Drosophila melanogaster: one gene and its partners. The protein of the gene in region 4 interacts with the protein of the main gene of each other region in a pairwise test. Each region holds a gene or a part of one and is shown on either strand. Other genes may lie near its edges. The genes, in order: CG2258, ebo, CG10274 and CG43691.

Region 1 (8,964 bases), on a different chromosome or scaffold from region 4:
TCAATATTATTTTTAATAGCATAATTTCAAACGGATTAACAATTAGCGTGCACCAAGATCCTAATTGTGGACAAATGTTTTGCGGCCGTGCGTGACCTTTTGGAAATGAAAGTCAAGCAGACCAGGAAGGAGGAGGCGACGGAGAAGGAGAGGATGGATTAAGGAATGGTTATGGGGCACATGAGGATCCACGTGCCGTAGGATCCTCCGCCAGCCACGATATCCTCCAGGAAGTCACCATGCTCTCGTCATCGTTTCGATGGAACTTCGAGTTCCTCGAACCGTCGATCGCAGCCGATTTGCCATAGTTATATAGAGAGCTAAATGCTAAACCAACTATATACCAGCGTCAAGAACTACAACGGCAACATAAATCTCAACTAAGTGCCGTTCCACGAGACCTACAAAAATATGAATACATATAGTTCAAAACGAGGCAAGGTTAAAAGTGTATTTCTGTTTGTTTTCGTTTATATCATATATATTTATTATACTATTCCTATTCTTATAAATGCAAGTACAATGAAAAGTTGTTTATTTTTTTTAATAGATATATTTACACACACACACACACATACACACGCAAATACACATTTGTTTAAAAGTGGCCTGCTGTTATTAAACTAGATATGATAAGTACACATATAACGAAAAAAACAACACTGTGCTATTATAATTTATTGTGTATGTGATTGTTTCCCCATTATGATACGATTATGATTTATTGTGACCACAAGCAAGCAAATAAACGGAAAATATTGTTGAATCTTTAAACTTAATCGAATTGGGTCGTCCAGGACTTAGGAACTTTTTATATGATGCCTTCTGAATCAAACAAAAACTGTACTTATAAACTATTTACGCCTAGTGAACGTTATTACAAAGGGGTTTCCCCTGTGAATTGTAGTCTAAAATAGCAAATTGCGGTTATAACTAATCAAAATGAAAAAATAAAAACAATATATATACTACATATGTGTGCCACAGGCAAAACGTTTAACCAGAAAAAAAAACTTGCTAGCATTTAAATAAACATTTTTATAACGCATCCCAAGAATTAGCTTGCCCTTAAAATCAGTATTTTTATATAAATCACTACACGTACTGTCCCCCACAAACGAGTTAAATATTATATGCAAATAAAGAAACGTTTTCCTGAAAACCGAAAGAGATCGAGCTTTTTTTCAACATTTAAATTCTAGCGCCAAGTTGGCAGCCCACATATATCTGATATCGATAACGATAACAGGCCGGCATGCCCCACCTCTACATTAAAAGGAGAAGAGCAAATAGGAAATAAAAACAAGTGATTGGATAATTTTTGTTTGTTGATCCCGCTGTCTTTGTTTGGTAAAATGGTGAAAACTTAGTTAACGCCACTTGGATGTGCTCAAATTTTGGTTAGTGTTATTCGTGGCTTGTTTAAAACAATATATAAACAAACTCTAAACGCCGTTAACCCTTGTGCGCGTGTGTGTTAGCTTGCGGCTTTTTTTTGGGTGTGGAATAGTTTGTTATTGTTGTTGTTGTAAACACATATGTATATCTGTGCAACAACAATTTGTCGCTCATACTTTTTAGATACAGTGCTCTCTCTTTAAAGCGCATAACAAGTATTTATTTAAATAAATTTTGAAAACTAAACAATTGCCAAAGAGTGAGTGCGGTTTTTAAACTGTTAACATTCAAGAAAATGTTAATACAATTGCAACACTTCTTGTTGCTAAAGTTTCGCCTTATCGAGTGATCACCGCCCCCCACAAGAATTCCCTTTCCGACCATCGCCCCTCCCCGGCGACAGACAAATAGACAGGAGAGCAAAAGAGACATAAAACAAGTGCATCGCATTTTGCCAGGAGAGGAGCAGCATCACCCTTCTCGCATCGCCCATTGCATTTCGCATCTCGCATCATTGGAATTAATCAAGTGAGCTTCTCATTCGCGTGCTGCGGCCAAAGGGAACAACAACAAGTGATGGAGCAGCGGAACTAGCTGTGTCGCCTTCAAAAGGACATCGAAAGCACAAAAGAGAGGAGCAGCAAACACGCCCATCGTCGGAAGGCAACATAAAGCACACACATCCACACACACACACACACATATGCAAACGTCCTTGGCTCCTGGACGCCAACAGCGGATGTGCGGGAGGGCGCAGGACGAAGGATAGCTGACGTCTGAGACAGGAAACAACAGGAAGAAGACAACAGCAGCAATAGCGACTACAACAACAGCAACCGACAAACGCAATTACGGTAAAAGGTGCGCCCAACAACATGGGTAAGTGAGCGGGGCACATTCTCATTGCATCCTTTTTGTGTTGTGCCCATTGTCGCATTTCCATACATTACACCCATTCACCGCGTGTCCTTGTGTGCGTGAGTGAGTACAGCAGCCCTGCAGTTCCGAAAATCACTTTGCATTCGAGAGCATTCACCAGGTGAATCATCGGCGACAGAGGGGCCTTCGGTCCTATTGGATGTCCAATAAGATTTCTTTTGGGGCAGTCCTATAGGAAATACAAGGTTTTCTTTAGAACAGTCCTGTACATCTATTACTATCCTTTGTAATTTGTAACTACACAACACTTGTTTATAGTAAATTTTGAAAAGTAGTTGATTTTGAAGTACTTAAAGCAAATGATCTAGTTCATTTTAGGTTTTATTAACCGCAAAATATTTGAAAAAGTGCGAAAAGCCTAACTTTGAAAACGTCCATTAGTATTGTAGCTTTATTAAAAATTAATATACATAAAGATATTTGTGAAGATTTAATGCATGCATTATATTAAAACCACAAATGTGGGCCACAAATATTACTGTTATTTGTACCGCTATTCACTGGCTTATTTATGAACCGGTTCACTCTTGCACGGATATCCTGCGAGAAAAAAGTGTGAGAGAAAGATAGAGAGAGAGAGAGAGAGGGAAATGCGCGCGCGTGGAGAGAGAAAGCACGAGTGGGCGGGGCAGTGGAGGGGGCGCTGTGTTTTGAAACGGATTTGCTCGTGTTGAGATTTTCACACAAAGCAATAAAATAGGCACCCAAAGAAAATTTAAATTTAAAAAAAATCTAAATTTGTTTTTAAATATATGTAAAAGTTCTTAGGACAGAAGTTGGACTTGAACACGTACCTTTCTCTCTAAACTGTTCAAAATAGTGTATAAATTGAATGCACTTTGTGCTTTTTTCAGTGTAGCGTGGAGCGTAGAGAGCGCAGAAGCCACGTGGCTCTCTCTGGCGTGTTTGTGTTTGTGGGGAAAACAATGTAAGCTGAAAAGGATCAAAAGCGCAAGGCGTTGTTGCAGGACCTAAAAGCAGCGCACAAAGCAGAAACGGGAAAGGCAGGAAGAGCGAGCGAGTGAGCGAGCGCAAGTGAAATATGAAAATTGCATTTTCCTCTTCCTGTGTGGGGGTGCTCCATTAAAAATTCCACCAGCACGAGGAGTATCCTCTTTGACGGCTCCGTGCGAATCCTGCGGAACTCAGCAGTTCGCTGCAGTCCAGTTTAGTGGCACGAAAAAACATTTTGGAGCATCAATAAGAGTGTAGCCAGTGCCGTCAGTCCGCAGTTTGGCCCTCGGCAGTGAACTTAACTTTTTTTTTTAGCGCCTGCTGCAGTTTTTCCCCGTGTGCTTGTGTGAGTGTCGACGCCCTTAAAGTTTTTCAAATTTTCCAGCTTTGAAAATCACTTAAAATCAATCCGTTTCGATTTAATTCTTTTTATTTTAGCAGAGGCAGCGGCAGGAGGTGGCCCTGGTGGAGGAGCAAGTGTTCCCAGTGGAGGAGGTGGCAACGACATCGGTTTAGGCATCGGCATCGAGATGCTCAAGGCTCTGTACGACTTCCAGGCGGTCTATCCGAAGACCATCAGCTTCGATGAGGGCGAGTACTTCATCCTTTACCAGACGTCCGCCCGCCAGCGCAATTGGTGGCAGGTTGTCAGCATGAAAGGCAACATTGGCTTTGTGCCCTCCAATTACGTAATGAAGATTAAGGTGGAGTACATCGCTCACTAGTGGCTAAAAGGATTACTAAACATATGCAAATTTTGACAGGTGGAGCACGACTTTCTCATCAGCTTTCTGAACTCCTCGATAGAATCGCTGGAGAAGTGCACGGACCATGAGATCAATGGCATCATGTCCAAGGACGAACTGCTGGACAGGCTGCGCGAGAAGAAGCACACCATGGAGCGTCTGTATGCGGTGGGTAGATTCTAACTACTCGTATGGCCAAATGAATGTTATTGATGACCTATCTCCCCTCCTATCTTGCAGGAGAGTTCCGAGCGCGACGGTGACTCCTCGCTTTCCTATTCACACAGCTACAGTGACAAGGGTAGCCACCGGCACTCGCATCCCCATCCCACCCAATCCCAGACGCAGCTTCATTCCCAGCACAGGCAGCACAGTCCGCCGCCCAGCGGCGGCAGCGTTGGCTCCCAGCGTTTGGACATGAGCAAGAAGAGCATGTCAAGTCCAGCGGTGGGCTCATCGTGCGGCCTGCCCCAGAATCAGGGCATGATCGAATCGCCCAGCATGGGCAGCATGCAGTTCCAGGGCAGCAGCTGCACCATCCAGACGCCGCAGCAGCAACAGCCGCTCCCAGCACCGCCAGCACCAGCTCCCTCGCCATCGGCAGCATCGGCCACACCCACTGCGGCATCAACGAGCAAAGCGGCCACCGGCGGTGATGTCGCGCAGGACAATAGCATTACGTCGGAGCCCTCGGAGACGACAACGACCACTACGACGACCAGCGAAGATGTGGTCACCACATACAAGGAGACCAGCCAAATGAGCACCAGCCAGCAGCATAAGCCGCAAAATGGGAGCACTGCCTCGGCGTCCATTTCCGCATCTGCCTCGGCCTCAGCTTTGCGCAGCAACGGCGGCAACGGCAAGGCCAACGGTAGTGCCACAGCCCTGCATCAGGAGCTGCAGCAGGAGGAAGCGGACAGTGCGCCGGACAAGTCGGATGATGCCAGCGCCGTGCAAAGTGACGACGGTTGCCCGGCCAACGGAGATAGTGCGGATAATAGCCAGGCGCTGGACAGCATCGACAGTCCGTCGCATCGACAGCGCGGCCTGAGCCTGGGCAGAATCGAGGAGGGTGCCACAGGAGGAGGCCAGTTGAAGGTTGAGTCATCGGATGTATATCAGATTGTGGACGCCCTGCGGCGGAACACCAACCTCAGCTTCGATCTCTCCTGTGAAGCATTGCGCGTGGTGCTGACCAGCCTGGAGCAGCTGTACAACGGTGCCATCAATCCGTACCTGGAGGCGGTGGCCGTTCATGTCACTGGCAAAGTGGCCACGCCCAAGGAGCTGCTGGGCATTACGCACGACGCCAAGCGCTTGCAGTATCTCTTTGCCCAGCTGGCGGACTGCAAGAACGATACGGAGCAACGCACTTGGATGCTCTACGAGGATGAGGAGGACATCATTCAGTTCCTTGAGGAGCTTGTTGAGATTTTGGTAGGAACTAGTTTTTTTTTTGTAACTTTAAATCTTAAACTTATATCACTCCTTACAGATCAATGCTGATGAGAGCATCAGTTGCTACGAGATGTCCTGCGATCAGTACCAGATGTTTATCAATCTGGTGCAGTACTATCAGATGGAGACGCGCTGGTCCATCAAGCGACTGCTGCTTAAGACCTTTACGGCCGCTTGCCATCTGGACTATATCATTGTGGACATATTGCTGACCTCGGTGCTGCCATTGGAGATTGTAAGCAGGAGCTCAGATTGTGCCACCTAATGGTTTTCTAAGTTTAGAACTTAACATACTTAACTTTCAGGTCGAGGACATGAAGACGCACTTCTCCAATCTGGATCGCTTCAAGCAGCTGGTCAAGATGCTCACTATTATCTTCTCACTTGGACAGCCCATGCCGGTTAATCATCAGGGTAAAAGCTATCTTAACTTATTAACCAATAGTTGCATGCTTATACTTTGATGTCTATTATAGATTATTTGGGCGTACATTTTGCCAGCTTCCTACTGGAAATCGTCGAGGGCAATAATCCGGAGGTCTTGGTGGACATGGTCATTGCCTTGATCTTGGCCTTCAATCAGCAATTTAGCGAACATACCTATAATGTCATCATCGAAGGTATGCAGAATCTGCCATCCGCCAAAGTGTTTACGGAGAAGTTGCTACTTTTGCTCAATCGAGAGGGTAAGTTTTCAATTTTAAGCATACTTTTTAATTAACTACAAAACATAAGCATGTAAATTGGATCGATTTCTTCTTGAATTCTAACCAGATGATCCCACACGCTTGCTCAAGCATCCCAACGAGCATATGAACACGGTGCTGCGAATGTTTATCGACATATTCAGCCATCCGGATACGGCGGGCATGTTCTACACGAATGACATCAAGGTGCTTATCGATATAGTGGTTCGCCAGCTATCCGATTTGGATGCCGGCAGTACGGTGAGTCCGCCAAAAGTCAATGCAACTATAGTGCTCCCTACTAAGTACACTTTAATTTGGTTTCAGACGCGACCATGCTACTTGGAGCTTTGCCGACGCATCCTGCGCAATACGAACTATCAGGAGCACCAGCATCGCAAGCATGATCTCATGAAGATCTTCACGCGCATCTTCTGCGAGGAGACCGAGTGCAGTGCCTCCGATCAGCAGCTGGTGCGGGAAATAGCGAACGAATTTCCGCAGCTGTTCAAGGCCTAAGGATTATTGGATACGTATACCAAAACAACAACAAAAGCCCAAACCAAAAAAAAAAAGAACAAAAAACACGGAGGGAAACCAAAATTGTAAAGCGTTGCTAGTGAGGCGAGCCGTTGAAAGCGAGCCAAACCTTAAAATCTCAAATAATTTCAAGTTTGATCAGTGCATTTGTTATGCGTTTGTTTTAGCGTTTCGGTCTAGGATAGCCCTCGTCAAAAAAAAAAGTCAAATATTGAAAAGAATGCATTTCGATCCATGCCGGATCGAAAGGGAGCACACACGCGACTCTACATATATCTTATGAACATAGTCTGTAAGCAGGACAAATGTACTAGTTGCATGTGGAGTAGATGCAACCTCATAGAGATGATAACCCAATCTAGCGATCTAGGCGAAAGAAATGAAGCTATAGCCTATAGCCCATATAGTCTAACACTAAATTATCCCCTGTTTAGGATGATTTCACTAATTTAGAATTTAGCCAGGGACAATTTTAGCCAGAAGCAGAGTCAGAGATTAGCCTCACTTTTAAATTTTTATAGTTCCAATTGCCCATTTGTTTGGAATTCAAAATTTTGACAAAACAAAAGAAGATGGAAGCATAAGAAAGAATGAAATCTTTCGAGGAATATAATATTTATAGCCTAATTATACACCTATAATGAAAATATACATTCATGGCGAATGCGAATGAAACGTTAATTGCAATCTACAAGTAAACAATTGATATATTAACGATGTATGATCGCAGTATTTGCAGCTAGCAAAATCCAAATCGATTCGAATGTAACGAGCATATAATGTTAAATTTGTTTATATAATCTATGAGATGGAGAACTAAGCCGAACAGGAAATCATTGACAATTGTTAAAGCTCAAATACTTATTAATTGGAGGCTAAGGAGGCTGGAAATTGAAAATAATTAACTATGCAAGAGCATTGAAAGTTAGGACAACCATTTGCATTTCTCACTCACTAAAAGACACGAACACACTGTGGCACTTGCATTTTGAAGGTATACAGAATTCCGAATTATATTAAAACAAATTATTGCAGTACCAGTTTTATTTTTTTTTGTAATACTTGTTAATACCTTTTCTTTCTGAACTATAGGGTTTTAACCTCCAGCAAACCAGCCACATTTTCTCTATATATCTCTCACTATTTATCAAGAAAAAATAACAACACAAAATTCCCAGCGGATCCAACGAAAAGATCCATAATTTTAAATTTTAATTTTAAGGCAACTCTATTGTATTTGTTATGTTATTTAGTAGTTAGATTCGAAGAGGCCTAGGACCTCTCAATCTAGTTTCAAAGCAGGAATATTGTATTTATTTCTGATAGCACGATCCGCTGGGATAAGTTATATCTATCTCTATATAAACACATACAGCCAACAAGATAACAACATAAAGAGTTTTGGACAGATTTCAATGGCCTATCTTTGTTATTGTTACGTCACAGTTATAAATCTTAAAAGTTAAAACAACGAAGCTCAAATGAAAATTAACATTTTAGACCAGATTAGTAATGAAACAAAATTAGAGGGCGGAAACCACATATGATATATATTCTTCATTGGATTTGGTTACCTTAAACGTAGTATAGAAATCTTGATATCATTCCACTTTAAAAAAGCAATACCCTTTTAAGTTTTCACCCCCTTCAGTTAACGAAAAGTGGTTTAGAAAACACTGCCTATAGCTTAGGAAAAAATTGAAAATTCGCCTCAGCCTGAATTGAAGTAAAAGTTAACGTAATTATAAAATTCAACATTTTGCCATAAATTTCTATTGTGGTTTCCCCCCTTAAAACCATTGCGATCCAATTTGATTTAAGTTTTAGAGATTCCCATTGTTATATTGTTTAAGAAACCAATTTTAATCAAAACGCATGAGCATAATATTAAAAGATCTATTTAAAAACCCCTGTATGGATCTAATTTTTAAATTAATATTAAAATTGAGACAAGCTGCGCTGATTCATGAACGAATTTAATTTGCCAAGTTTCATAACGAATAGGAGTATTTACAAACAGTTAAAAACTAAACTAAATCAGAAACTAAAACCAATATTAGCCACGAATTGTACCTTTCGATTTTGAATTTAAATAACACTCTCGGTATTTGCAAGAAAAATAAAAGAAATAAATAAAAACAATAAGGCAAAGAGTAAACGAAGCTGCAATAAAAACAATTGATGTTTAAAAGTACTACGTTAACAAAAACAAACACGTTTTACGTCAAGCAAATAGAGCT
Region 2 (8,739 bases), on a different chromosome or scaffold from region 4:
CACCAACCCTACTTCTTGCGGATGTACGTTTGATGCCAGGATCTAGAATATGCAAACCAGCCATTGGCTGTTCGGCTACCTGTATTTTACGGCATTTACCTGCTGGTGAGCGGAAGTGGGTGATTCTTGCCTCGCTTCCTGACATTTTAATGATATTCCTTTGTTTTGCTTTCGCTTTTTATTAAATTTGGTTTCGGCGCTTTTGTCCTCGACACCTGAGCAAAAGTATGCAAAAGGAAATATCGAGTGAGTAAACAAGAGAGTATGTAAGCCACAGACAAAGAAAAGGAAGCTGTCTCTTTTGTGGACCTCGTCCGCAACATCCTCCAGCTCCTCCATCGTTATCCGATTGTTTTTATAAGTGATTCTTATTACCATTTATTTTTATGGCATTTTGATTATTTGAGCGCGTGCGCAAGGCATAGTAATTAAACATATAACATTTAACGTTATACTCATAGGTCTATGTTTATAGGAAATCCTATTAGTAATAGTTTGCAATGATTAAGGTTATGGATGTTGAAATGATAAGCAATTTATTGAAAATAAGTTGCCTATAGCTTACCTGAGATTCTAATTTATTTATAAATTGCCTCTGTTGCTTGATTTAATACAATGAAATAACACGACCGCTATTTACATATGTACATATGTATGTACATCACATGTAAAAGTAACCGTAAGCTACACCGAACATTTGCGTCAGATATTTAACAGCATTTATTGAAACCACAGTTACAAAAACTGTAAGCGACACCGAAAACACACTACGAAAACCTCTAACAATGGTTTTTAACTAATTTCGCCGTTTTATCACTAATCGTAGTCCAACCGAATGTAGGCCTCCAATATCAAACTGCACTCACCAAATTGACCGGAATAACTGAAATCACAGAGTGTAGTCAAAATAAAGTTACATTTCAGGCAACTTTAGAACAAAGTAACGGGATTAAAAGCTCGAACAGTCGATAGTTGATGTAGTGGAAAAGGAAAGGGAACAAAAGAGAGATGAAAGATAACTGTTTCATAATTCGATCTCTTTTATATACATACATGTCTACCTATGTATGCATAGTATGAAAAGAGAGCAAAATTTGCATTTGCTCCTATAAAGCCACGTGCCACCCATCGTTTTATAACTGATTATACTAACTAGACTTTAATAAATGTCATGCTAATCAAATACATATCTAATTGCGAACAACTGGCGAATAAAATGGTAAAAATAGTTTTATTGGACTTTTGATTGCAGGACTTAAGCAATTATACATACATACATACATTCATACATAGTTCAAATCATTACAACGGACTTTAAACGCCTTGAATTTACTTTTGGTTGGTGGTGGTGTTAGGTTTTCCCGAAATAAATTACATACATAATTTCGTACCTGGGTTTTTCGGCCCTTCCAGCTATTTTCTTACTTGATACTTTATACTTGCTTACAACGTAACTGATTTACATGTTGAGATATGCTAATTAATTTATGGATATAAATGTATATGCTACTAAGATATATGTAGGTATGTATATGTAGTATGACTTTTATCGAGTTGCGGTGACAGCACAGAAAGCAGAGTAATCGTATATTCGTTACGTGGTAGACATAAAACTAAAGATAATAATGCACTTAAATCTATGTACGAAGCTTGTTTTAAGTTAACATTTAATGTCTTTTTCAATCGGGACGAATGCTGAGCTTTCTAAACAGAAATACAACATCGCACAAGGAAGAACCAAACGCAATCTGGTGGGATGGTGTTAGAACATAGGGCTTTGGGGACACGGCCCACAAGACAAAGGACCTGAAGTAGATGACAGACAGTATCGGGAAATATGGCATGCAAAATGCGACAGCATATTACATTTAAAAGTTACAAAAATAAAACAATATAGTACTTTATATACATGCAAGAACCTAATCGTATGCGGCCGTGGTTTACGGAACAAGGATGGGGAGCTGTTAAAGTCCCGCGCTTGAGGGAAGGAAGGCCTACGCCGTCTCATTGAGGTGCACGCAGTGGGCGTCCTGCATGAGCTGCGTGAGTTTCTGCGTAAACGTTGGAATGTCCTGAACAATAAAAGGTAGTACCTATTAAACGCAAAGTCAGTCATGGAAGAGTCACCACCACTTGCAATTTTGTGTTTATATTGATTGAAACAATTGAAACAAGTCGACATGGACAGTAAGATTGTAACAGAATGCTTAAATCATAAATGGAAGACAGTTTCTTTTTTTGCCTTGCAAGTGGTGTCGATCCCTTTATATTCAGTATTTGACTCACATTTGTCTGGCAGATCTCCTCCAGCGACGTCTGAGCCACTGGCAAAGAGGCGTGAACGAAGCTCTCGAGCAACTGGCGTCGGTCCACCTGGCCCATAGCATACAACGCCTGGGCAATCATGTCGAAGTGGAGGGAGCCCTCTCCACTCAACAGCAGATTGAGCAAGGCCCGCTGAAATGAAGCCAGCAGTTGCTCCTTGAACAAGGCGCGTTGGTACAACCGACTCCTCTCATTCACATTTTGCATTGAGAAGAGAACGCTGCGCACATTGCTCGGATCAGTCCCACTGACCAGCATCTGGCCATACGCATTCAGGATGGCCATGAAGTGTGCTGGATGCAGGTTGTCGCTGCAGTTGAAGTTGCCGGAGCCACCACCGCTGTGACCATTGGAGAGCTGATTTTTGTAGAAGAACTGCCACTTGCAGGTGAGGACACTAAAATGGAGAAAGGGCGTTAATTCATGACGACACAAGACACAAGTACAATTTATTTTAATTTATGCAGCATCACGCACCTATCAAACAAAGCGTACAACAGGCTAGTGATCTCGCTGTTATCGGTTGCCGCATTTTGCTGCTGCAACAAGGGCAGAATCTGCTGAGTGCTAAAATCTAAAATGGAGGGAAGCAGCCCCAAGGAGGCGCTCCCTGGCTGCTCCACGATCAACTTGAACATCTGCAGTATTTTTTCCATCACAGCCAGTCGGCTCAGAGTCAGTTGCTCCCTGGAGACAGAAAGAGATGGCATCATTAGTAAGCACTCACACTGTAAAGAAAGAGATGGGAGACCCACCTACTGCTGACACTTATGAACAAGGTGATCATTTCCTTAATGAACTGGGCCCCCAAATGGGTGGGCAATGTTCGGAGCATGCTCAGGCTAAACTCGGCCACCGTGATGGCCATGGCGATGCTGCTTTGCCCAAAGTTGTTAAAAATCATTAGGGCCTTTGTTAAAATAGGCTGGAAAACAAAAAACGTTAATAGATTAGGATAGGATGTTTAAATTTACTTAAAAAAATAAGGCACCTTGAAAGTGCTTGCCAGCATATCCTTGGCATTGCCTCCAGTAGCTTTAAAATACTCAATGAGAGCAGTGAAAGTACCCAGCAAACTGAGCGTGGTGGCCGCCACCTTGCTCTCGTTGGCCTGGCCTAAGTCCAGATCCAGAAAGTTCTGTGCCAGCCCCTGGACATATTCACGCAGCATCCAGAGACGCCTCGGATACTCCTGCTGCTGCTCCGGAACGCTTTTCCACGGCAGCACCATGTAGCTGACCAGACTGATGTGTACATTGATGCACACCTGACGCGGCAATTGGGCGCCCAAGCGAGAGCCTGCCTGCAGCAGGCTTTGGATTTGTGGTATATCCAGCAGGCACTTGGGCCGTATCACAGTCGATATGAAAAGCAGCAGCTCGCTTGCCGCCTGCTGCACAATGGGGGAGGCAGCCGTTAAGGATCCATTGCATGCGAAAATGCTGCCCAGGATAGCAAACAGGCGGTGCAGCAGTTCCTCGCCGCTCATGGCTTTCGTTAGCGGAAAGATGCTCCTCATGGCCAGTAGAACTTGAGCGTATCTGAAGGATCAAGAAAGCATAGTATCACATACATCATGCAAAGGGATGCCCCACTTACAGGTTGTCCAAATCAGTCTGGAAAGTAGCTTTGTCCATTTCGCTGCCGCCGCTATACAAACGATTGCTTGCGAGGAGCTGTAGAGTCTGCAGCAAACTGTCGGACAGCATCTGCAGCTGGCACTCCATCTCATCAGCAACCCCGGGTGCTGCTGTTGATGAGTCCATCAATGGGGCCAAACGCACGACCGCCTGGCAGACGGTGGCAAAGTCGCGCAAAATCTCGCCCACATTGGCGCCCTTCAGTTTACGTGCCGCTTCGTAGCTTCGAGCGCTTCCGTGGTCCAATGCGTGCTCCAAGGACAGTAAATACATCTGTGGCCGTGACCAGTGGTTATAGACCTGTGCGAAAACGATGTGTGCACCTCTGGTGTTGGCCAGTAGGGCCAGGGACTCGAAGCATTGGTCTAGAAACTGCTGCCACTCAGTGGCGGAGGTCTGAAATTGGATGAATGTCTAGATAAAATGAAGATCGTTCTAATGCAAGGTCTATTTCTTGGTTTTTGAAATTTGTCACCTAAAAACACTTTAAATCAGAGCTACTTACATCGTCCTCCATGAGCTCGTTGTCCAGCACTTCTAGCTCGGGTTTGTTGGCCTCAAACTGAGTGCGCCTCATAATCTCATCTACTAGCTGGGTAAGCACATTGTTATAACGCGTGATTTTGGCGGGGTGCTGGGCAATGCCTTTGATGATGGGTGTCCAGATCTCAAGCTTTTCGGTGAAGTCCAAGGCGCCGTGTACTGTTTGGGGAATACAAAATTAATAACTTTTGTTATATATCTTTGTCAACGACATTTCGAAATCTCGATCACGAGATGCACATAACCCATTTAATATTGCGAGTGTTTTATGACTACACAGCAAAAAGATCATCTCAAAATAAAAAATAAGTTAGCATCTCAAAAGGCAATATTTTTATCACGCGACTCACATTCAGTGGTGCAGCTGTATAGCAGATTGAGAAAGGTCTCCAGCAGGTCTGGCTCCTGCATCAGCTTGGCGGCATACTTGGTGGTGTAGAGGCGCAGCAGCTCCCGAAACTTGTCGCTGTACATCTCGCTCTGCCGCCGATTGTTATTGTGCTGCTCCAGGAGGCTGGTAACGCCGCCCATCAAGGGTCCTGGGAAGGGCAGTGGCTTCTGGAGGTAGAGGAGCTCATTCAACACAGAGAGAGCCGCCAAGGAGATGGGCTCATGGGCTGGTCGCCACTGGGAAAGGTCAAGTATGCTCATAAGGAAGTACTCCGAGATCAGTTCAGTGCGTATCCAGGAGACCAAGTGCTGCACACATCCTAGCAGGTCCAAAATTGAGGAACTGCGGAGTATATAGAGAGATGTTATAACAAAATGTTGTAATGAACATATGCTCTTTTGAATGTTATGATGACCCACCTTAATTGATTGTCATTTGGCAGCGCTGAGGTTAGACTAAAGTCCATGAGGGTGTTTGGTATGGTTGTTTGGATGTCTTTGCCATTGATGTGGCATACAGCGATTAGCAGATACTTGGTTACCAGGTCCAGAACATCGGGTACACACATGGAGATGCTACAGAAACACACGGCAAAAGGGAGCACAAAATGGGTTAGGAACAGTGCTGTGGCAACTGACCAGTAATTATAGTGCTTTCTCTCAACAAAGCAATATAATATGATAACTGGGTTAACGGTTCAATTAGTTGAGTTTTAAGAGGTCAGCTGACTTTAGTTGTTATGCCATATACATACTCAATCTCAATATAACACTTATTAATAAACCAAAAACAAGAACGGACTGACAAGGTCTGGGATTGTGTTATTCTATGTTGTGCGACGCAATCGTGTATTTAAACAAATAACACCAAAGTTAATAATAAAAATACGCTATGCTCGAAAACATCGACCATCTGATACGCCGTACTCAGTTAAAAATCCAAGTAGTCTTAAACAGACATTAAAAGTATGGGACTACAAAACCTTTTTTAAAAAACATACGATTTTAGCCTCTTCGCTCTATTTACCCACCAGGAGTAGAAGTACTGCTTCCATTCGGTGGTCAGGTCGCCCCTGTTGCTTACCACCTCCTCGGAGGTGATCTTAAGCAGGTTGATGCCAAGTTGAAACCGTGTTTTTGTCAGTTCCATGCAGTGTTGCATGTAATTGGGGTCCTGTTCAGGGAACTCCCTCTTTCCGAGTAGGGCTATCAACTGGGCCAGTGTGTCCCTGTGCCGTTTGGCCACATTTGGAGTGGCTACCAGTTGGGCATACGAGTTCCAAAGGGTCTCCCGCAGCAAAGTCTTGTCCGTGGACGTCAACTGTGTCCATCTCCGCGTGATTGTGTGCTCCAAGGTTGAGGTGCTGAAGAACCAGAGGAACTGATTCTCCGTGGTGTCGGAAGAGGTGGCCACACGGAGGCAAAGTTGCCACGCCTCTGGCTGGGACTTGAAGGCCAAGAGGTTTGTCTCGATCTCTCGTTTCCGGGCATTGGAGGTGCTGGGCTGATAAAACTCCTGCAGCAGTCCCTCCACCGTCGTCAAAGATGCGGCGTGCTGCACAGACAGTGGGTGGGTGGAAACCAATTCCCGGTTAGGTGGAATCACTCTGAATCACTGGCAAAATAGTGCGTTTGGCCCGGAGCCCCCCGCCTCACCATTTTCCGTGTCCTTTACGATCCTTCCGAGTATCTGTGATCTGGATGTTACGGTCACTGTGAGCTCCGCTTGCTCGCGGTTCTAATTCCGATCGCATCAGCAGTCGGCGTCCATTAATTGCATGGTTTTCTTTGTGTCTTTACACAAAAGGTGGCCAAAATCTACTCCGGGAAAGTGAACAAATTCCGCACGGCTGGCAACCCTGGCCGATAGTCAATAAATATCGATAGTTGTTGGTTATGGGTATTTTGAAATAAAAAAATTCTACCTTTCTTATTTTAATTACCTAAAACAAAATTTTTTTTAAATAAAATTGGCTATATAAATGTTTCAGCTAAAACTACGAGCGAGCAGACAAGCATCCAATTCAAATCCATAGTTATACAAATATATATATATATATATATATATATATATTATACAAATGTAATAAATTTTATATTTTCAGTCATTTTAATCTGATAAATTAAAAATGCTGGACTATTCCAAACAGCTCATAACCAGAAACATTTTGAATTTTCCGCCTAACCGCAAATTCGATCGATAGACGATAAAAAAATTGATCGCAGTCGGCGCTTTTGTATGTATTTTTTAATATGGTAGCACTATTCTAATAAGGCAATATTGTTAGCAAAACGGGACACTGATTAACTGTTAGCCTGCAAGTTAGGAAACCTGAAAGTAAAGGATTTTCAATTGATATTTCAAGACGTTCCTATCCGATCTGCCCAACAATCTGCCAGTATCTCATCATGGAAAACCAGGTCCGTAAAAAGGCGGCAAAACGATCGCGATCAGCGGATGGCGACGCCAACAACAATCTCACGCAGCGGAAGGTATTTGTGAACCAGAAAATGTGCGACTCCCGTGATCCTCGGAAGATGAAGGAGGTCCATGGTATGTAAATTGCCTTATTCGCACCAACTTATCTTGTTTCGATCCTGTAATGGAGGGGTGGGAGATTGGAGAGATAGCGCCGCTCAGAGCGCAGTTATCCCGGACTTGTTGCTCACTTCAGTTTGAACAGTTAGACGCGAGAACAAAAAATTGAGCAAAGCAGCGACCTCTAATTTACGATGAATTTACGCATAAATTTTTTTTTTTAATTTTTTTCTTGCTGTTCTTTTGCACGTCCCATCGAAGCTGAGTGTCTAACCCTCCTTTAAGTGTCTAACTCAACTGGAACTCTCCGATTTTCTATTTCTTTCGCAGAGAAGACAATCAAAATGCTTTTCGATGGCGCAGCCGGCAATAGGCAGGGTCAGGGCCAGAATGCCCTGAAGCCATTGGTACAAGGCCAGGAGGAGCCCGCCCTATGCGAGCAGTACTATCTGCTTGGCGATGGTTCCATCGTTCTGCGCAACCTTCGCACCGACTTGTCCAATCCGCGCCTGGAGAGAGTGAAATCGCGCTGCTGCCAGCGCCAAACGCTCATCCACGACATATGCGTCAACTGCGTGATGGATCTCTGCGAGGAGTGTGGCTACTCCTGCGGCGAGTGCTCCAGGTTCATTTGCCGCAGCTGCGTGACTTTATTGTGAGTTAAGTCCTTAAAAGAAGCATCCCCCTTGGGAACACCTTTTATTTGAAAATCAATCGACCATCATCTTATTTCCAGTGGTAATCGAGTTGAAGAAGAGAAGGATCCCCTGTGCGAGCACTGCCAGATGTTCTTCAGCTAAGGCTTTACACAATCCAGCACTTATAAAGTCGCGGTGCTTGTTAAATTTTAAGTTCTGAAGCAGTACAAATTTGGGACGACACAATGTCAAATGTATTACCAACCAGCTCCGTTTCACTTATGTCCTGTAACTGCTTTCTTTCCGGCCGATAGCCTGGATGAGATCCTGGCACAGGAGACTGGGCTGGGCTGCTCGGTCTGACATCAGGTTACTGTGTTCTTTTAACAGCACAATCAGGTTGTCTGTGAGTGCATTATACAGATCCACAAATAGCTGCCAACTGCCGCCGTGGCTGATCAAGTACTTGATGTCTACATCCAACATGCTGCCAAGAAGGCAATCCAGGGACTCTCCTGTGAGAGGGACCGTACGATTCCCGGCCAGATTGCGCTGGGCCTCTAGGAGTCATAGGGCATGACCAGAATATGCCAAGTCTTTGGGTTCCGGTTGAAATGGTCATTAAGGATCTAAAGAGAACATTATTAACTAGGGAAGGAGAATA
Region 3 (6,746 bases), on a different chromosome or scaffold from region 4:
ACTTTATTCTATATCCAAATAGCTATCTTTGCCTTCCTGCGGTCAAAGCAAGATTTTAGCGAATGGAAAGAGGAATGCCAGAGCAAACTGGAATTGCTGTCCTGCCTACAGGACTTGGTCAAGTTTCAAATCAAGTACTGGATCGAGGTGGAGTATATGGTTAAGGCTTTTGACGAACTGGAAATGTGCAAGATGCGCATCCTCCTCACCGACGATCCTGAGGAGCAATCGAACTACAGAATACTGGCGTGCCAATTGGACGAGCAGCTACAGTTCAATCAGTATAATCTACAGACATCGCAGTTGAACTTTACGAGACTGTGCGGTCGTTTGAAGTACCTGAAGCATCTGAAAGAGGATTCCGCGGACAAACCGTGTCCCATCTGCCAAACCCAAGATGACGTGAGGGTAAGTAGCTAAAATTTCAACAAATTTTTCTACGCTCGGGACTTATTGTTTTCGTTTTAGTATGTGATGATGGTATGTGGGCATTTTGTGTGCCAGCACTGCCTGGATAGCATGAGGAGGAAGAACGGCCGAGCCGGCGTCACAAAGTGTCCACTTTGTCGGCAAGATTCGCCACAGTAAGCTTTTGTCATTAACCCTCACAGACTACGCTTGTAACCATGTATTTCTTATAGGTTGTATTACTCGGTACGCCCAGGTGCCCACAAGTCAATTATTGGTGACTTTTCTACAAAAATTTCAAGTGTTGTGGAATTAGTGCTGAAAATTAAGGGTGAAAATGAACAGGAAAAGATTATTGTATTCTCTCAATGGCAGGCGATTCTCATTGAAATTGCCAGAGCGCTCAGTCTCAACGGCATTCAATTCCGCAATAAGTGCACAAATAAGGACTTTGATGATTTCAAGGTTTTTATCTTGCTGTTAAATTTAATTTATCACTGCTAAACATTTTTCCTCCTTTAGAATCCGTTGAGCAATGTTACCTGTCTACTAATGCCACTGTCCAAAGGCTCAAAGGGTTTGAACCTGATCGAAGCCACACATGTTTTCCTCGTCGAACCCATTCTAAATCCGGGAGACGAGCGCCAGGCCATAGGTCGTATTCACCGATTTGGGCAAAAGAGGTGAGTGCGCGCTATTGAAGTGAAGTTGCTGTCAGTTTCAATACAATTGTTTTTAGACCCACGAAGGTGCATCGTTTCATTGTGAATGAAACGATTGAGGAGAATATTCTATCGCTAATTACTTCAGCCGATGACACGACTACGCTGTCGACCCACTGGGATCTGGAGAACATGACACTAGACAGCCTTAAGAAGCTATTCATACTCAAGGAGGAGTAAAACTTATGAATTTAAAACAAAAAATTCCGATTAGATTTAAGCTCTTAATAGGGCAAATTTATTTTTTAAGCTACTTATAAACAATCTTTATATATAAATATATAACTGCCACAATCAATTCATCTATTGAAAAGATGATATTTGACATGCAACCTCTCCATTCAGACCAGAATCATTAAACTTAAGTCGAATTCACATAGGTATTCTGTGTTCTCCTGAATAATGTACAGTATTATTTGTACTACAGTTAAGGACATTATATTAAATAGTATTAAAGAATATTTTCAGCTTAAAACTATATCATATCCATCTTACACACACTGTTCTCATAAGGATTATAAGGTATTGCTTTTCATAAAAAAAACCCAGGATTGATTTACCATCTGTGACAGCGTTAAACGCTGGCCAAATCTCAGACATGATCGATTTTTAAAGCATCCAAAGTGGTGCCATCGGCATGTGCTTTTTGAGCGTAGTAGCCATCGTAGGAGCTTTGCGCCTTGTCAACCTCCTGCTGATGCTGCAACAGTTGCAGTTGCTCGTAGGCAGCCTCCTGAACCTTGCGGCGCTCCTCCTCCGCCAGTCGCTTTACTTCGTTCTCTTCAAACTGCTGCGCCTGGAGTTCAGCGGATGCCGCTGCTCGCTCCGCCGCTGCCTCCTGGTACTCATCGTAGGAGTGCAGGCTGCGGTCACTACTTTCAAGCTTGTGCAGCGACGATAGCTGCTCCTTGGCCGCCTCCGCAATTTCGCGCCGCTTCGCATCCGCCTGGCGCTTCGCCTCTCGCTTGCTGCGTTCCTGCTCTTCCAGCTCCTCGCGAGCGGCATAAAACTTGGGCGAAATGACGGGTGGACGGTTCTCGTGGGTGCGCTGGTGGCGCTTCAGCGCCGTCTCCTGGCGGAAATGGGTGCCGCAGGTCTTGCACTCAAAGGGTTTCTCGCCCGTATGAATCCACTCGTGATGCCTCAACGTTTGAGCCTTTGCGAATCTTTTGGGGCAAAAGCGGCAGGCAAAATCTTTGACCTTTTCGTGGATGATCTTATAGTGCCGCTTCATGTTTCCGATATTGTTGAATCCCTGACCACAACCGGGGCAGATATGTTTGCCCTCCTTCTTGGTAAAGTTCACCTGCGGCGACCACGACGGCACTGAAACAGAGGGTATGGGGTTCACAGCAGTGCCAGCCAACTGCGCCAGATCCACTCGTTGTACACGGCGTGGATCTTTGGGAATGGTGGCCACGGATTCGGCGCACACCTTAAGCAATTCGTCGGCAGCGTTTCGGGACATGATCGGCTCAATGGATATGCCCTCAACTGGTGGCGCGGGTGGATTGTCGAACTGTTCACCAGGCGTCTCGCCCATTTCCACCTGCCGCTGGCGGTAGGTCTCAATAGCACGAAGCACACGCTTCTCATGAGTCTTCAAGTGCTTGGTCAGACTCTTAGGATAGAGAAACTTCTTTCCACAAACCTAAGAATATTAAAAACAAAACGTTGCAATGACGACGCTGGCTTAAAATATCTTTCTACCCTTACCTTGCACTCACAGCGCTTTTCCCCCGTGTGCGTCATCTCGTGGATCTTGCAGGCGTGTGACTTGCCAAAGGTCTTTCCACAGTATTGACACGCATAGTTTTTGATCTTCTCGTGCACGATCTTAATGTGGTTGGCCAGGCTCTGCTTATTGTGCGATGCGTGCTCGCATATGTGGCACTTGAACTTCTTCTCCTGGGTATGCGTCAGTATGTGTGTGTTCCATTCCTGCCTGGTGGTTTTTCCCACGCCACAGTACGGACACACGTAGTTCTTAATGCCCGCATGCCGCATCAGATGATCCTTTAGAGCACTATTGATTACGAACCTTTTGCCACAGATGTTACAGGGGAAAGGCAACTCCTTGCCGTCGTGCTTGTACATGTGCTTCTTGAGCGCCATGGGACAGCGGAATACCTTCTCGCACTCGGTGCAAGGGTAATCCCGTGGGGGCGCCGCTGCCTTGGTGATGCCGTGCATCTTCTTCATGTGAAAGGTGAGCAGGCGTATGCGCGGAAAGGTCTTGCCGCAGCCATCGACATTGCAGGAGTGCACCTCGGATAGCTCCGTGTGGGCGTGGTCGATGTGAAGTCGTAATCCTCCAGCGGTGGTGAAACCTGTAAATGCCAGTGATCAAAACGAGAATGCGATTTGGAGCCATCATTACACACCTTTCCTGCAGGTTTCCACTTTGCACTGGAAGGGCAGCAGGTCGTTGTGGTGCTTCATGTGCTCTTCGTAGCGGATGGCCTTCTTGAACTTTTGGTGACAAATGTGGCAGTCAATGATGCGGTGCAGGTGCCGTTCGCCAGGCGGAATCCTCTTGCGTCGACTCTTTGACTTTTCTCCGTCCTCGTCCTCCTCTTCGGAGCCTGTTGGGAACTCTTGGTCCTCTTCCTTAATTACGGCTGCCTTTGCTTTTGGTATCATCCGCGAATTATCCCGTAAGCGCTGGGCCAAAGGCACATCATCGTCACCATCGCTACTGTTGGGCTCAAAGTCCACATCTTGGTCAATATCTTCTTCGCTCTCCTCCGAGGATTCCGCGGCAAAGATGGTCATCAGATCGGCGGCGTCCAATTCATCTTGCTTCACTTCCTTCTCCACCTGCTCGGCCTCCTTGTCCACGTGCTCCAACATCTTGAACACATCCTCCTCGTTCTCGATCATCTCCATTTTGTGATCCAGTAGCGGATCGAAGTTGATACGATCCTCCTCGTCCTGCCCCACCAGCTCAGGCTCGTTCCCCGCCACGTTGAGCAAATCAAAGTTTTTCATCTGCGCACTCGCTGGCGGGCAAAAGACGTTCCTGGCCACCATGTCCTGGAACTTTTGCACCGAGTCCACGCACAGCTTTTGGAACTCGTGCATATCGTCCAGCCGGCTGAAGCATTGCGCGCACAGACACTTGGGGAAGCCATCCGACTGCTCCACGGCCAGCGAAGTGCAGACACACAGTTTCTTGGCCAATCCGGGTATCAGGAACAGGTCAAAGGATCCTGCGCCGCCGCCATTCTCCGGCAGGCGATTCAGGCAGATGCGGCACACCGCGTGCACCGAGTACTGGGCTGCCTCGGCCTCCTCCTGCATGATGCCTGTTCCAGGGGGAATCTGCTGGCCAAATCCGCGGAATATTAAGCCGAGAAAAACTTTACGCGTCAGACGAACCAAAACAAATACCAAAAAATACCCCACAGTGATGCCAAGTACAAACAGTTATTTAATAGCTAAATTATTAAACCGGCTAGAAATATGGATAGCATCAATAACAAATTTCAAATGTTTTAAAAAATATGTGCCATTTTAAGTGTGATTCTTAATAAATGTATGTATTAACCTAAATTAAATACGTAGTTTTATATGTGTCTCATATAAGTTGCATAGCTAGTGGAATGTAGCTAAAAAACAGACGAGTTGGCAGCATTACAGCTCACCTCTGTCTTGTTTACCAACAATACCCGCTTACCAGCACTGGGGCGAATTTAAAATTCAAATGTTCAATACTTATTACTGTTTATTATATTAAATCATTGTTAAATGAATACAATTAGTAAAGTACAAACTTAAGCAGTTTAAAGGGGGGATTTAAATACAAAAAAGATCAAATTGCAAAGTGACGAAAACTAGTTGGTAATCCTTAGAGAACTATAACTCATATGTCCTTCATAGAAACACATAATGAAATGATCGGAAACGGAGGCCGGGTTTGCTCGCAAGCATTTCCGTTTGATTCTGCCGCTCAAACATGATCCAACTTCAGTGCGTCCACTGAGGTGCCCTCCGCCTCCGCCTTCTGCGCGTAGAAGCCGTCGTAAGTGTTCGACTGCTTCTGCAGCTTGTTTAGCTGCTCGAAGGCAGCCTCCTGGATCTTCCGGAGCTCCGCCTCCGCCTTGCGCTTGGCCTCGTTCTCCTCGATCTGGTAGGCCAGCAGCTCGGCGGTGGCCGCTGCCCTTTCCGCCGCCGGATCCTGGTATTGCTCGAAATTCTTCGGCTGCTGGCGCTTCACCGCGGTGCTGGACTCCGCCTTGGGTCCAGCCGGCTCCTTGGGCTTGCCAGGCGGACGGGGCGGCTTGTCGTGCACCTTCATATGCGTCTTGAGCACCTGCTCCTGCCGGAAATGCTTGCCGCACACCTTGCACTCGTAAGGCTTTTCGCCAGTGTGTATGTACTCGTGGTGCCGCAGGTACTGCTTCTTGGCGAATCTCTTCGGGCAGAAGCGGCAGCAGAAGTCTTTGACCTTTTGATGCACCACCTTGTAGTGCAGCTTCATGTTGCTCACGTGATTGAAGCCCTTGCCGCAGTCCGGGCAGATATGCTGGCCCTCCTTCTTGGTGAAGTTCACTTGCGGCGACCACGAGGGCAGGTTGACCGATGGAATTGGATTGGCCACCGTTCCCGCCAACTGAGCAATGTCCACCCGCTCGACGCGACCACGCAGGTGCGGACTGGGCTTGGCTATTGTCGAGGATCCACTGGCCCCGTCGCCCATTAAGGCATTGGTCCCCTGCGTCTTGGGCAAATCACGCTTCTCGTGCGTCTTCAAATGCTTGGTTAGGCCCTTCTCGAAGAGGAACACCTTGCCGCAGATCTTGCACTCGCAGCACTTTTCGCCGGTATGACTTCTCTCGTGAATCTTGCAGGCGTGCGACTTGCCAAAGGTCTTTCCGCAGTACTGGCAGGCAAAGTCCTTGCGCTTCTCGTGCACCACCTTCACGTGGTTGGCCAGCGCCTGTTTGTTGTGGGAGGCGTGGTCGCACTGCCGGCACTCGTACTTCTTCTCCTTCGTGTGGGTAAGGATGTGCTTGTTCCACTCCTGGCGCGTCGTCTTGCCCACTCCGCAGTACGGGCACACATGGTTCTTGATGCCCGCATGGCGCAGCAGATGGTCGCGCAGCACACTATTGATGGGGAAGCGCTTGCCGCAAATTTCACATGCGAAGGGCAGCTCCTCGCCCGTGTGCTTGTACATGTGCTTCTTGAGGGCAGTGGGGCAGCGGAAGACCTTCTCGCACTCCGTGCAGGGGAAGTCCCTCTGCGGGGTGTCCACCTTGTGCACGCGTTTCATGTGGAAGCTGAGCAGCACGGGCCGGGCAAAGGACTTGTTGCAGCCCTCGTAGGTGCACGGATGCATAGCCGATGTCTCCGTGTGGGCGTGCTCCACATGGACGCGCAGTCCATTGGCGGTGGTAAAGCCTGAAATTGGAAAAATAATCACATAAATCTACTTCTCGAGGATCTGCGGGCGGAGTTTACCTTTTCGGCAACTCTCGACGGTGCACTGGAAGGGTAGCAAGTCGTTGTGATGCTTCATGTGCTCCTCGTAGCGAATCGCCTTCTTGAACTTCTGGTGGCAGATGTGGCAGTCAATCAGGCGGTGGCGATCCCGCTCCGTAGCAGGAATCC
Region 4 (7,142 bases):
ATGTCGACAATAGCGGGCAGCTAACGGCCGGAAACGATTCGACATGAAGGGACTTTCTGGGTCCGCGTCGCGTGTCATGAGCAAACAAGATAATGTTACAGCAGTCATCGCCAATCGGAGGTGGGATGGAGATGCTGGGCAGGACCACGGGCACTGTGCGGACACTCGAATGGAATTCGGTTTTGGCAGTTTGCTTTTGGGCCCCAACCCTCCCGGCGATTTGTACGAAAAATGCAAATGAAAACGTCTCAGCTTACGCCAACTTCCCCACGCCAGCAATCTGCTGAGTAGAATGGGAATGTGGATTTGGATGAGGATATGGACTGGAAGTCGAAACTGAGACGGAGAACTGAACTAGGACCAGCAGCAGGAGCAGAAAGTGGAGGAGGGTGCCAAGTGGCCGGTATCCTGTGCTGGTCTCCGTAGGCTGGGAAATGATTGATCGCCGGGCATCAATTTCGCAGAAATGTTATTGCCTTGCGTTCGACAGTCGGTCGATTGCCGGTCACCAAGTGCTTTAATTATGGCTTAAAGCGATGTCTCCACATGGGTTAAGTTACTCGAAGGAATTTATTCGGTCACAAGTTATATATAAAATGAAAAAAGAAAAATAAGCAGATTTGTAAGAGCAAGAACTAGATTAACAAATATTAGGATTTCCAAATGCAGTCTTACAAGCTTTATAAATCAGTAAGTAATATCCACTGATCTGGTATAAAAATACATAAAATGTCCTAAATTAAATGAGAATATCCTTACTGAAGAACCAATAACATTGTAAGCACAGTTCCATTTTAATTGCAACAATTTTGAAATATAGGATCTGTTACTCGGAAAATTCCTTGAGAGCCTGCCTGATCTTCGGCCAATCGGCGGCTGTGTAGTTAAGCGTTTTCATTTATGAAAATGTCTGAAACATGTTTCGCTTGCGCAAACAGAATGCGAGTGCGAGTATGCAATAAAATTCCATTACAGCAATGGCTCGACTTAAAAACTTGGCCGAAAAAAAAAGGAGGCAAGATGAAATTTCGTTGCATGAGCGAGAAGTCGTGGCAGGAGCATCGGGGGGAGCAGTGGGTGGAGCAGCAAGGGGATAAGGAACACGACCAGGAGAAGGAGCATCCTGCAAGTGTATTAAAAGCCCGCAGACATTTTCTCTCTACGTGAGTGCATCGCATGAGCTTGGCCCTGTTTGTTGGTGTGCAATGTGTGTGTGTGTGTGTGTGCAAAAGTCCTTGCATATTTTATGAAACTTGGCAAAGCATTTAACAACACAGGCACACCCACAGACAGAGGCAAACTCATTACTTGAATTTATTTAGCACTTAAACCAAATGTTTCATTCGCCTCAGCCGGCTGATTTGGTGGTGCTCATATCCGTGCATATCCGGAGTTTAGTTACCACTTTGGTGGCTTCAAAAGTACTCAGCACTCCTTGTCGCCCCTGCTAAGGATCAAAACTTCTGGTATTCTTAAGGATCCCGCGTGGGCAGCAAAATGCCGGGCACTCGGGAGCAGTAGGTACGGTGCCCTTAATCCGCTTTAGAAGCTTGGTCTTCCGCTCATTCATGGGTAACTGTGAGCAAAGATGCCCCTTTTTATGGACATAGCCACAGCGTGTGCAAAGGTCCTCGAGCGTGTTGATTAGCAGCTTGTTCTTGGCACAGGCTTCTATGGATCCGCTGGACAAGATCTCGCAGCTGGACGAGGACGACATGGAGAACGGGGTAGTGGGCGCGGGCACAGGCACCTTTACTCCACACCGAGGACACTTGTCCAGGATCATCGAATCACCAATTTTCTCAACTTGGCCTTCGCATGCCAAACACTCTGCGGAACAGGAGATCTTCTGCAGGCGACAAGTTTTTCGGGGTGAGTAGTAAAGTTCCTCGATGGGCCTAAGATCTTTGCTCCTCTTCCTTGCCGTAAAAGTGGTGGAACGGAATTTAGGACGCCTAAATTGTGCAGAGGTATACAATTCTTCGACTTTTCCCTTCATCTTCTTGTGGACCAACTGCTCCACTCGCGATTTGCGATCCAAAGCCTGAAAGAAAGAATAAAAATGTATTTCGAAGATGTTATTTTATAACTTTTTGGCGGTTGAGTATAGTTAACCCACCTGAAACATCAGCTGGTGCTGGTTCATCATGCTCCTAATGTTGTGTAGCGAGTAGCGCCACTCGATGTCCCGCACATCCTGCTCCTCGTTGGCCGCCAGATCCAAGCTGTTGTTGAAGCTTATAGTTGATCCAAAGGTGCTGCTAAAGCGTCTTCTCTTACGCTCCTCGCGCTCCAATCGTTCTGCATTGAGCTCCTGCTCGAGGAGTTTATTGTACATTCCGCCGTTCATCTTGATTTCCTGCGACTGGCGTGAGCTGTGAGATGGGTCAATTTTGCTCGTCCTTATTCCCCGCATGCCGAAGGGAATGAGCCGTGTGCTGACCCGCTTCCTAGACCACCAGTTTCGCTCCATAAACTTTTCCACCTCTTTCTTCTGTTTGGCTTTCATAGATTCGGTTTCCAAAACGTTAAGCATATTGTCCCGCGGCGGTTCCATTCGTGCATAGTTCTTCTCGGTCACTATTTCGTTAAGATACTCCAAGTACTTTTTGGCCAGACTTTCCTTAATTTGCGTTAACGTAACTCCTGCATCTGTGAGTTCGTTGTAGAGACTCTGAAGATGGGACCACATTTCATGGTTAGCTACTTCCTGCATAAGTCCATTAACATCGGCAATATACTCGATAACTTCGTTTCTTTGTATGACGTCCTTAAGGAGGAACTGCAAGTGTTTGAATTTGGCATCTGAGCGTAGATCTTTCAAATGAAACCGTTCGAATTCGAACTCTTTGACGTAGGGCTTTGGGGCATTTTCTGTTTTGTCGTGGCGATCTCGCACCGGTGCAAGGAGTTTTTCAAGATCATCTGGCAGCGCATCATATTTAAATTTATTTTTGGATGTCGATTTCGAAGATAGATGACCAAAAACTTGGCTTTGGGATTTAGTCGGATAAATACCAACTTGGGTATCGGAAGCCCTTCGTGGAAGATGCCTGTTCGATTGGTTCCCTCTGTGCAGAGCTGATTCGCTGGCTGTAATCCTAGATACACCCATATGCTCGCTGTTTGTAGGAAGGTACATGATATCCTTCTTCAAAGACTGATAGTGACTTTCCTCTTGACCTCTTGGAGGAGCAACGCGGATCTTCTTGGGTATGATGGGTGGCATGCGAATAGATTTACGGGTAAATTTTCGGTTTCGATTGCCCATAACTAATTTATTCAGTGATTCAGTGAGGGACGCAACGCTATCCCTTTTGAATAACACATGAGAACCACTCCTCTCGGCAGATAATTCGGGTCGGTCTTTGATTACGTAAACGCTGCTCGTACTGGAAAGCTTTTTGTGCTTATCCGACTTAGTGGCCACTTTTTCGGATCCGATGAAAACCTCTTTGGACGCAATCGAACTACTCGAACTAGAAGCTTGAAGTTTGTCACGTAGTTTTTTCCTATTTCTTCTCTCAATATCACGCCTCATATATAGGGGTATATCATTATATAATCTTTCGAGTACATTTTCTTGCTTTTCCAAGTCTCTTTTTTCCTTTTCCTGTTGAAAAGTTTCAGCTTCTTTAGTTTTTCCATGACGATTGCCCCTTTTCTTTGCCTTTGTCTCTAAAAGTGCATTTAATTCGTCTTTAATTACCCTATCCACATAGTGCATTTTACGCTTTCGAAGTTTAGGTCTTGTTACCTTGAATTTAATGATTTTCGGATCTGGAACATTTCTGGGAGCTCGTCCGCTTTTCACAATTCTTTTTATTCGTACTTTTGGGTTTAAAGTTGTAATATCGGAGATTTTGTCAAAATCAAATTTGGGGTTTCTTATGGCTTTTCTGTTAATTTTCGGGTTTTTAATAACTATCTTTTTCCAGTTGAAGCTGATTAGTTCCCTTATCAACATTTTCAGTTCCTCTAAAGATGGTTTTAATGGATCATGTTTCTTTGGCTTTCGAATGTCCTTCCGAATTCTTTTCAATTTTTTCCGAATAACAAGTTCATCTAAGCTGATATATAATTTTTTTCTTTTCCACAATTTCTTCTTTGATTTCCTAGTTTTATCATGTGCTGTATCTACTGGCACGTTTCTTCCTCTCATGGCCCTTTGTTTATTGATCATAGCGTTTGTTTGCAACACTTCAGTTTTCCAAAATTTAGCAAAGTCCTCGATTTCGAAATCCTTTTTAACCCTGCCACGGCTTAGCTTTCGTGGTCGCCTTCCCCGAACCTCCGATAAATAGTTTCGAACCTCCAGTGCCTCTGCCTCCCAGATCTTGTCCTGATCCTTGACGTGTTCGTAGTAATCCGGTTTCTTTTGCCACTTCCTAACTGCCTTGAACAGTCGATGGAAGCACTTGTCGACCAAGTTCTTTGGATTGCGGACTTTCTTCAACTGCCTCCTCAAGTGTCGAAGTTTGCGACGCATTCCCACTTTTACATGCTCCTGGTGCCGAATTAGCTGACTTTGTAACCTTAAAGCTTTTGACCAGCTGCGCAGCCAATGCTTGTACATGGAAAGCATACCGCCCACCGCCCTCCGTGTCTGCTCCCTCTTCTTCTGCTCCGCATCCCGCTGCCGGTGATCTATGGAGTTCCTCATCCTGTCGAGCAGATGGTCACGGATCCTTCTCATCACCTGAAGGCGGCGGTGGGCGTGACGCTTTCGCAGACGCAACTCCTTCGCCTTCCGCCGGATCTGCTTCTTCAGCAGCACCATCTGGGTGCTCCGGTGGAGCAGGGGCACTTGCATCGCGTACTAATCGAATTTGATCCCTTATCCTCTGAATTGTGTATACAAAGAATACCAATTAACTAGATTTTTAAACAGTCTTAAATGTCATGAAATGTCATAAAAAATTTAAAAGCTAACTCTATTAAAATTTGAACTTACTCATTGGCAAATATGTTATTATAAATTGAATTCAAATTGATTTTATTTTAAAATTCTTGTTTTATTATATATAAATTCATAAATATATTTAATTAAAATTGTCTTCAAAATAAACCCTTAAAGAGTTTGCAAATCACCGGCAAGTAGTTTCAAGGGGATGCACAATCTCTTATCAGACGGTGTGAACCACCTGGTCATTCGGGGATCCCAGTGCGAAACATTGCTCAGCTTACAGATAAGGCATCACAAATCTTCCATCTATAAATTGGTATTCATTGTCGGTTTCGATGGGAAGCCCCACTCAGAGATAGATTGCTATATAATTCACGGTGACCAGATCCCAGCATCGTCAGTCAACAGTCAGCCGCTTAGTCAAGTAGATCGAAAATCAAGAGATTAATACAGCAAGATGAGCAAAATTGTTCTCCTAATTGTGGTCATCGTTGGCGTACTTGGCTCCCTTGCGGTGGCCTTGCCCCAACGTCCGTATACCCAGCCACTGATCTCCACCACCGACGCCACCCAGAATCTACAGGGCACGTCGCCAGGTGTTGGGTGGATCACTCACATCCAATCCGAGTGGCGGTGCCGATGCCCGATTGGACCTAAGCAAGGCCGTTGGAACTCCCGATCACCATGTTATTGGACAAGTGTTCGCAGCGGGCAACACGCAGACCAAACCGGTATCCACTCCCGTAACCAGCGGCGCCACCCTGGGCTACAACAAGTGAGTCTCTTAAAGGATTACGATCTGAGCAATAGCGAAACTAATCTTATTTTTCATGAGCAGTCATGGACACGGCCTGGAACTGACCAAAACCCATACGCCCGGTGTGCGGGATAGCTTCCAGCAAACGGCCACCGCCAATTTGTTCAACAACGGTGTTCACAATCTGGATGCCAAGGCATTTGCCTCGCAGAATCAGCTTGCCAATGGCTTCAAGTTCGATAGAAATGAAGCTGCACTGGACTACTCCCACATCAAAGGTCATGGAGCTACCCTGACGCACGCCAATATTCCCGGATTGGGTAAGCAATTGGAGCTGGGTGGGCGTGCCAATCTTTGGCAGTCGCAGGATCGCAACACAAGGCTAGATCTGGGCAGCACGGCATCCAAGTGGACAAGTGGACCCTTCAAGGGCCAGACCGATCTGGGTGCCAATCTGGGACTCTCGCACTACTTTGGATAAAACTATATTCTTAAAAATATTTTACAATAACTAAGTGTTATTCAAAATATTTATTGACATAAATTCAAACGAATTTTGTTGCTTATTTCAAATGTGTTAAAAATATATGACTTAACTCAAACAAAGGGAATTTTTAATTGAAAAAAACAACTAATGAATTGAAACAAAAATCTAAAACGTTGATTAAAGCGGTCTAAAGACCCACAAATGCCTTGGCCTGCTGCTCGCCCGCCTCCTTATAAAGCTCCGCCGTCTTTAGCAGTTTTATAAAACGCGGTGAGTACTCGGTGGTTAGACTCTTTTCCAGGACCTCGTCCAGGCTGGTCTGTTTGAGCACCTCCTGCAAACGGGCGTTACGTTGATTGCGCTCTGCGGATTCGGCCATCTTCTGGAGATAAACCAGATCCAGGAGCAATTCATCACGCACTCCAACCGCCGCCTGTTGATCCTCCATCGGTAGATCCTCGTACTGTCGCAGTAACTTCTTGACAATTCTCGACTTTTGGCTGATCTTACTCGGATCGAGCAATCGCACATCCTGACTGAAATCCTCGGCAAGGATTTGAAGTGTGCTCTGTCGCTTCTCACGACACTTTTGTTGCTCGTTGGATGTCTTGAGAATTAGGTCATAGAAGTCCTGGAGATCCGGACGCAAAGGAATGCATGCTCTTCGTCGCACCTGCTCATCAATTATGCTGCTAATCGCCTCCATTGTGTCCCGCAACATGGTCTCCGTGTGATGTAGATAACTCTCGGTCTTGTCATTGCGGATTTGATAGAAGTTTTTGGACTGCTTCTGTTCACACTTGCGATTCCTCTCCAGAACCGCCAGTAAGCGGTCCATGCCCGGATCATTGCCCACTGCCTCGAAGACAGCAGAAACTATGTCCTCGGAGATTTTGCCCGTGATTAGCTTATCGTAACTTTCCGATCGGGAATCCGGTATTTCAATCCGAGGTCGGTGGCTAAAATAAGCAAAATTAAAATAAATTAAAAAG

Evidence for each region.
Region 1: the proteins of CG43691 (region 4) and CG2258 interact in a two-hybrid assay, tested with the Drosophila melanogaster proteins (one large-scale study listed by BioGRID).
Region 2: the proteins of CG43691 (region 4) and ebo interact in a two-hybrid assay, tested with the Drosophila melanogaster proteins (one large-scale study listed by BioGRID).
Region 3: the proteins of CG43691 (region 4) and CG10274 interact in a two-hybrid assay, tested with the Drosophila melanogaster proteins (one large-scale study listed by BioGRID).

The regions. Positions count from the first base shown.
Region 1 is NC_004354.4:8,094,382-8,103,345, reverse strand, and holds the start of CG2258 (uncharacterized protein), read left to right. Parts: upstream 1-1,891; 5' UTR 1,892-2,277; intron 2,278-3,274; exon of another isoform or gene 3,275-3,637; intron 3,638-3,729; 5' UTR 3,730-3,821; coding exon 3,822-3,995; intron 3,996-4,055; coding exon 4,056-4,205; intron 4,206-4,277; coding exon 4,278-5,477; intron 5,478-5,535; coding exon 5,536-5,733; intron 5,734-5,803; coding exon 5,804-5,912; intron 5,913-5,974; coding exon 5,975-6,184; intron 6,185-6,272; coding exon 6,273-6,445; intron 6,446-6,511; coding exon 6,512-6,703; 3' UTR 6,704-8,964.
Region 2 is NC_004354.4:469,840-478,578, forward strand, and holds ebo (ellipsoid body open), read right to left. Parts: upstream 6,741-8,739; 5' UTR 6,558-6,740; coding exon 6,555-6,557; intron 6,454-6,554; coding exon 5,930-6,453; intron 5,475-5,929; coding exon 5,319-5,474; intron 5,242-5,318; coding exon 4,859-5,241; intron 4,668-4,858; coding exon 4,471-4,667; intron 4,380-4,470; coding exon of another isoform or gene 4,362-4,379; coding exon 3,925-4,361; intron 3,867-3,924; coding exon 3,317-3,866; intron 3,251-3,316; coding exon 3,081-3,250; intron 3,013-3,080; coding exon 2,803-3,012; intron 2,723-2,802; coding exon 2,287-2,722; intron 2,094-2,286; coding exon 1,995-2,093; 3' UTR 1,180-1,994; downstream 1-1,179. Other genes in the region: CG13373 (uncharacterized protein), read left to right, coding at 7,308-7,452, 7,768-8,092, 8,174-8,237.
Region 3 is NT_037436.4:6,177,335-6,184,080, forward strand, and holds CG10274 (uncharacterized protein), read right to left. Parts: upstream 4,496-6,746; 5' UTR 4,434-4,495; coding exon 3,515-4,433; intron 3,461-3,514; coding exon 2,847-3,460; intron 2,782-2,846; coding exon 1,723-2,781; 3' UTR 1,343-1,722; downstream 1-1,342. Other genes in the region: CG7376 (uncharacterized protein), read left to right, coding at 23-408, 469-584, 642-873, 931-1,091, 1,148-1,310; D19B, read right to left, coding at 5,083-6,536, 6,597-6,746.
Region 4 is NT_033778.4:13,388,406-13,395,547, forward strand, and holds CG43691 (uncharacterized protein), read right to left. Parts: upstream 4,957-7,142; 5' UTR 4,814-4,956; coding exon 2,120-4,813; intron 2,045-2,119; coding exon 1,448-2,044; 3' UTR 1,090-1,447; downstream 1-1,089. Other genes in the region: CG4744 (uncharacterized protein), read right to left, coding at 6,338-7,109.